Coturnix japonica: one gene and its partner. The protein of the gene in region 2 purifies or fractionates together with the protein of the main gene of each other region. This does not show direct contact. Links are inferred from orthologs where the notes say so. Each region holds a gene or a part of one and is shown on either strand. Other genes may lie near its edges.

Region 1 (3,654 bases), on a different chromosome or scaffold from region 2:
GTTACGAGCTTCTGTACCCCAACTTGCAGCCTTAAAGTCTTATCAGCTACTATATAAGATGAGGATGAGATTTATTTGATGGAATGTATACAAAATATGTGTACATTCACTTACTTTCTTCAACAGACTGATCATGTTCCCTATGTAGATGTTGTAATGTAAAAAATGCAGATCTACTCCACGACAGTGCATTTAAAAAAAAAAAAAAAAAAACAAAAACAAAAAAACCTAAGCTCTTAGTTCCTGATGTTTTCCACACATGTTACTGTTTTGCATTTTGGGTTATGTTATGGTCAGTTTTTAATGAAAAAAAGACTATTTAAGAAGTAAATGCTAAAACTTCAGAAGTTGTCAACAGTAGAATATAAGTAGTATGTTGCTTTTTAAAAGCAGGAAATAAAAGCCTGTCTTCTTTCTAGAGGAAACAAACCTTAAATACATTCAGTGTGGTCATTCAGTATGGATTTGGAAGTCTAAATTCAGTGCCATTGTGGCTGTGCACTTGTGCTGCAGTTTGGAGAGAAGTGTGAGATATGCTTGGTTCATTTCCATCTGTTAAAATATTGAATAAGTAATTGCTTCAGATTACATTTGATTTCTTACCACCACAGAAAACTTTCTCTAACTTCTTAAATTATTTTATTTATCAATTTCACAGATCCAACATGGCTATCAACTAATTTGGGCATTTTAACCTGCATAGAGTGTTCTGGAATACACAGAGAAATGGGTGTCCATATTTCTCGAATCCAGTCTTTGGAATTAGACAAATTAGGAACGTCTGAACTCTTGGTAAGTTTCTTATGTTGTGCATATATTAAACATTATGTTTAATTACTGGTTGGGTATTAGGTTGGAAATTAGGAAAAAATTCTTCTCAGGAAGAGTGGTGAGACATTGGAGCGGGCTGCTCAGGGAGGTGGTGGAGTCGCTGTTTATAGAGGTATTCAAGAAACATGGAGATGTGGTGCTGAGGGACGTGGTTTGGTGAACACGGTGGAGATGGGTTGACTGTTGGACTAAGTGATCTTTCTGGTCTTTTCCAACCCTAATGATTCCATGTTGACTTGTAATAGAACCCTGAACTTTTGAATATATAAGATTTGCAGAATATGTTATTCATATATTTGTGAGGTTTTTGTACTATTATGTATTGCTAATACATCTGTCTGTTTGTCATTTCTGTTCATTTCCTAAGGATTTACAGAATGAACATTAATATCTGCTGTGAATAGCAACATTAGAATATTACCTCATACTGTCTGATCCAAATTACTCCAAATCAAGATAGCTTAAAGTATCTTGTGATAATCTAACTTAACAACTGAGAACGACTAATGCTAATTTGGGCAGAAAAAATATTGGATGAATCTTTTAATTTCATAGAAGGAAATCGTTTAATGTCATGAAAGGAATTGTATGGAAAACTTTTAAGTTATGACATGTTTATTACCACAGTCTGTGCTTGACCTGTGAGAATACTCATTGCAGTAACTTTGTGAAATACTTATTAATAGTACTGAAACTCACAAACGTACTATTTGTTCATTTGATAACAGAGTGGAAAATGACTATTAATAGCCCAGGTTTTAGCTTATTGATGGTCGGGGGGTGGAAAAATCTCCCTTTAATCATTTCGTTTTCTTATTGCAGCTGGCCAAGAATGTAGGAAACAATAGTTTTAATGATATTATGGAAGGGAATTTACCTAGTCCCTCACCTAAACCCAGTCCATCGAGTGATATGTAAGTTTTGAATCTCTTCAGTTGTTCAATATTAAGTTTAATATGAAATATACTTGGGGGTGGAAAACGCCTTAAGCAATAAAGAAGCCAAGGGTGGATTAGGGTGGCAGGACACTTTTTATTCATACTCCAAACATGGAGTTTCTTAAAAGTTCAGTCTTCTGCCCTATACAATAACAAAAAAAAGCTTGCATTACAGTAATAAGCTTTTATCTGATGGTTTTCCTCCTACCTTCTGAGTTCAAGTTAAATAATGTGATATTACATTAATATTCTTGACCCATTTTTTTCCTAAAAAAGCATCTAAACCAAGGTCTATTTTCATACCCCACAGGACTGCACGTAAAGAATTTATAACTGCTAAGTATGTAGATCATAAGTTCTCTAGGAAGACTTGTGCATCTGCAGCAGCTAAACTGAATGAATTACTTGAGGCTGTCAAATCCAGGGATTTACTTGCACTAATTCAAGTCTATGCAGAGGGGGTAGAGCTAATGGAGCCACTGTTAGAGCCTGGACAGGTAAGCCAAACAGCTAAACAAGACTGAGTGAAGTATGTCTGTAAAATCTCAAGTACCACAGGTGGTTACCTTTAATACTAAAAGAAGAGAAATAACACATAAATCATTTTTTTCTTTCCCAAGTTGGGCATCCTTTAGAGGGGAAAACAGAAGACCATATCTGTTGCCAGCAGTTAGTCTGAAAGAGTGTGAAATGCAACAGTACTATGATACACTGTTCTAATTGCAGCTATATTATGTTGGGAAGCACCTGCTGTGCAGTATGCTTCTTTTGGAAAAAGGACCTGAGATAGGTAGCTGAATTTGCTAACCTAAAGTCACCTGATACCACAGACAGTGTCATGTCTGCTTTTAAAGTAGCTTTTGAAGGGACACATCACATCACCTACTGAAACAGCAAAGGTGATGCTTTCACAGGCTGTGATGAAACGTTTCCAAAAGTACATTTTTTCATCCAGGACAAGAATCGTGGCTTTGACTTGGTTTTAATAATGTGTTGAATACTTCTAGTTTCTCCTTTAAAATCTGTTTCACCGAAAGTATCCATGCAGAAATGTTGCTCCAGAGCAACATAACCTGGTTTTGTAAAGAACCAATGCTGTGTAGCCACTTGGTCAGCAGTGTTTTTTCCTGCTACTTTAAAATCCAACCTAGAGAGATCTCAGGTAGTTTTCAGTAAGTTCTGTGGGCTTTTCTGTGTGGAGTGGAGGGAGCTCAGTCTCAGCGCTTGAGGTATCACATAGTGCTGGTCATGGAAGTACTTCACAGATCCTCTGACTATGGGGTAGACTTTCTGTCAGCTGTAATGAGAACCAAAGGATTAACCCTTAGTGTTTCACAGCTTCTGTAGTCAGTAATATGTATGAATACCAATTGAAATGTGGCCTGCAGTTAAGATGTTTATAACAGCAGTTTCCCATATAAATTCTCTACTTAAAAAAACTTAAATGAGAATACATAAAAATTAAAATTCATTAAATGCACTTAATGATTCATAAGAGTTGTTAAAATTTGATTTTAGAGTAATTTCTCATGCATCTTTTAATCTGAATTGTTCTTATTTACGTGTATCAAGGCAGAAGTTACATATAGAAAATAAAGTGCAATTCTGTTTGAGATGATCTAACCTCTGTTTCCATGTGTTTAGGAGCCAGGTGAAACAGCACTTCATTTAGCAGTCCGGACTGCTGACCAAACCTCTCTCCATCTGGTTGACTTCCTTGTACAAAACTGGTATGGGTTGCATGTTTTTGTTCAGTTTAGAATGAAATTTGAAGGTGTTCAAAGCCATCATTTCGATGGGTTGGGTTGTTTCTTCATCACTTGTAGTAATTCTCCTTAAATATGTTTCAGAGAAGCATCGTTTAATACCTTGAGTTGACCACTGT
Region 2 (3,654 bases):
GATCTTTTCCACACTGACACAAAGCCAAGCCAGTGTAAAAGTCCTCCGTAGGAAGGCCCGTGTGTCATAGAGATCAGTCAGGGTCCAAATTTTACGCTTAGTTTAATTATGGGCTACTTTGGATTTTAACCCCTTCATCACCCCTTTGAGAGCAGAGATTTCACTATCTGTTTCCAAGTGGATGGAATCACATTAAGTCCTAGCACAGACAGAGCTCGGATGGAGTAGGTAGGAAGATGATACACATCTCTTTCCCTTTCTCATTCTAAGGGGCTGTCTTACAGAGCCGAACAGTCCTGCAGCAAAGGTGTGAGCTGAGCTGCTGTCCTTCCTTTGGCTGTCCAGAGCTGGGGAGGAGGGAAGAGGATTTCTTCAGTTGTCCAACTTTAATAGGAAGTGACTAAAGTTCCTTTAGAAGCCAGTCTTACCTTTGCACACATTCTGCTTTTCCTGAGAGCCCTCGGAAGATGCAGACCATATGCTGCTGGAACTTGTGCCTTCAAGAAAACTGTTCCAGGGTTGTGAAGGAAAACATCTCTGCTTCTCCAGACAAAGAAAACAAACACAGCTCTTTTGCTCTGACTTCCTTATGGTAGATCTTGCCTTAGTTTTTTCCACTGGCCTACAGGTATGAGAAGTGTTGTAATTCAAACAAGAAGCTGAAGAATTCTTCCAAGCCTGAAATCTGTTAATCTATGGGTTTCATTGTAGCAGGGAATGGCAGGACTTGGAAGCTTCTAATGTGTGGAATTATTTCCCTGCTGTTTAAGTGACATCACTCAGCTCTTTGACTTTGTAGTTGAACAAGAGTATACACCAAAGACTTAAACTGATGAGGAGATTACCACCTGCTTGGTAAGGTGTGGTTGTATTTCCAACCTGCCTTTTCCTAATAGCGACTTTCAACTCCTGTCAAGGTGCTTTTAGGAATCTTCCCATTCAAGTTTTCCAGGCCGTGACCAGGTTGCTGCCTTTATGTTCTTCAGCAGTTTGAATGAAGCTTATGGATTTCTTGCTGCAAAGATCCTGCTTTCCAGACCTCAAATGGCTGTAGCTGCCCTCTGCTTTTAAAACAAAAGAATCAGAACCGCGTGTGGCATTTTGGGCGTGTTCCCTTTGTGCAAATAGTGTCGATCCTTTTTGTCCCTTCAAGGAACACATTGATCATTCTGATCTTAAAACCTATTTGAAGGGGCTGCGTTCTCTCTTCAGATATGTCAAATGTATTTTGGAAGGCTCTGCAGTGCACTGATCTCAGTCCCTGCTTCCTCACACATAAGGCTTTAGTGGACTTTCTTAAGCTTTATGTAGGTACATTTGGCAGCTGTTTTAGGCTGTCATGTGTTATTTCTAGAGTCTTACTCCTCTTTCTGTGCCAGGTTCACACATCACACTGATATTTACATTCGTTTCCTTATCAGTGTGATTTTTGGTTACTTTGGGAGTTTTTTTTGAGACCAGTGCTTTTTTTGGCTCATTGCAGTGGGGCTGATTTCTTTTGAAAGTCCTTCAGCCTTTTGATGTATCTGAATGTGCATTTTCCTATGACTTAGTTCTGCTGCTTTGAATTTTCTGTAACCAACTCAAATGATGTTTCTGTTCCTTGAGGACTTCAGAACTTATTTATTGGCTGTTTCTCTGTGTTGATCTTACCGAATCTGCCCTTTCTCTATTAGAAGCCCTTTTTGCTCTCTTGAAAGACCTTCTTGTAACGTTAGCTTGTCGTGCTGACGGTGCTACTTTGAAGGGACTTTTGGATCAGCGACAGCCTGAAAAATTCTTCTAGCTTTGTACTCGAGAGCTCATTCTCAGAACTCTTAGATATTCCCTGCAGAGAAGCAGACTTGCAAAGTAAGCATCTCGTTCTTGCTAAGAGTTACTCATTAAAGCATAAATCTTTTCCTCTCCACTGCCCTCCCCCAGCCTTCCACGATTCTTCCCATAACTGATTACACAGTATATGGTGCGTGGTGGAAATGGAACATCATACTTATGTTTTTCCCCAGCTGATGAGCATAAAAATGAAAAGAAAAAAAAAACCTCACAGATTGAAAACTGAAATGGATTATATGTAATTTGCTACTCCTGATGTCTTGAATATGAACATCATCTGCATTTTAATGTATTCGAGGGCCGCATTTGCAGCTTAGACTCCATCTGATGAATATAGCACAGAGAATATAAGAATGGAGATTAAAAGAATGAATTACGTTTATTACGTGTTATGAGAACATACTGCTGTATTGCTGTGCTAAATGTTTTTCTGTAGTGTCTGTGCTGTTAAAAATTTCTACCAGGATTTTGTTTGCTGTCCAGATTTAGAGTATTCATCAGGGGGAGAAGGAAATGAGTTGTCTGTTCAGTGACAATTGTATGAATACGATGAGTGTTGACCAAAATCAAATGACTGTAGAGGTATTAGGACTGTCTGTAAAGGTATTAGTCTTCCCAGACGTTTCATTTACAGTTGTAACCATTGTTCAATCTCTTTGTTGACGTTTTGCTTTCTCCTTTCAGGGTTGAATCCCACCAGGTTTCGAATAGGTGACCAGGAGTTTGATTCTTTGCCATCTTTACTGGAATTCTACAAAATACACTATTTGGACACTACAACCTTGATAGAACCAGTTCCCCGATCCAGGCAGAATAGTGGCGTTATCCTCAGGCAGGAGGAAGTTGAATATGTGCGTGCTCTCTTTGACTTTAATGGAAACGATGACGAAGATCTTCCATTTAAGAAAGGAGACATACTGAAAATCCGGGACAAACCTGAAGAGCAATGGTGGAATGCAGAAGACAGCGAAGGAAAGAGGGGAATGATACCTGTTCCTTACGTCGAGAAGTGTAGACCTTCCTCTGCTTCAGTATCTACTCTGACTGGAGGTAACCAGGATAGTTCCCACCCACAACCACTGGGTGGGCCGGAGCCAGGGCCCTATGCCCAGCCCAGCATCAACACTCCGCTCCCTAACCTTCAGAATGGCCCTATTTATGCCCGGGTTATCCAGAAGCGAGTCCCTAATGCCTACGACAAGACAGCCTTGGCTTTGGAGGTACATAATGGGCAAAACTTAGAAAGAAGAGATCTGTTCAAGGGATTTCCCTTTCCATCACATTATAATTTTGTAGGAATAAGAAAGGGAAAAAAAGCACTGTAAAGCTGGTTTTGCATCATGATTGATAAGTTACTGATAAAGCTTTATTTTTTCTTTTAAATAAGTGACTAAAGTCACTTATAGACTAGCTTGATTATAAGCATGCTTAGGTTACTGATCCACTGTCGTGTCTCTTGTGAAACATCACTAACATAAGTGTTTCCCCATCCACGTTTCACTTCTGAAGTCATTATTTTAGGGGGAGGGAGTGGGTGTGGCTCATAATGTTGTGTGTCTGAACCTGTGTTCAATGTTGTGTGCCTCCACCCCAGCCTTTAAAGGTGTGCTGAGTTATTCTGTCATCCTGTCAGCCTTTTAAAAGCAATCAGTAGAAGCACTGATAGTCACTTTAAAATTACTCACGTCGAGATAACAATGATCCCGCGTAGGGGTTTATTTTAATGTCTTGACCTCAAGCAAATCGCTTCACCTTTTTAGACTGTGAATCATGAACATATATTACAACTCATTAGGGAGGAGAAGTAGTGACTGATGGAGT

Evidence for each region. Proteins that work in one complex are often made in the same cells at the same time.
Region 1: the proteins of CRK (region 2) and ASAP1 purify together in Homo sapiens (affinity purification with mass spectrometry; 3 studies listed by BioGRID and IntAct, with this or other methods). This does not show direct contact. The link is inferred for Coturnix japonica from reciprocal best matches to the Homo sapiens genes CRK and ASAP1.

What each region holds. Positions count from the first base shown.
Region 1 is NC_029517.1:126,769,973-126,773,626, reverse strand, and holds part of ASAP1 (arf-GAP with SH3 domain, ANK repeat and PH domain-containing protein 1), read left to right. Parts: intron 1-658; coding exon 659-792; intron 793-1,653; coding exon 1,654-1,745; intron 1,746-2,079; coding exon 2,080-2,266; intron 2,267-3,413; coding exon 3,414-3,499; intron 3,500-3,654. UniProt on the Homo sapiens protein: Possesses phosphatidylinositol 4,5-bisphosphate-dependent GTPase-activating protein activity for ARF1 (ADP ribosylation factor 1) and ARF5 and a lesser activity towards ARF6.
Region 2 is NC_029534.1:3,977,501-3,981,154, forward strand, and holds part of CRK (adapter molecule crk), read left to right. Parts: intron 1-2,517; coding exon 2,518-3,053; intron 3,054-3,638; exon of another isoform or gene 3,639-3,654. UniProt on the Homo sapiens protein: Involved in cell branching and adhesion mediated by BCAR1-CRK-RAPGEF1 signaling and activation of RAP1.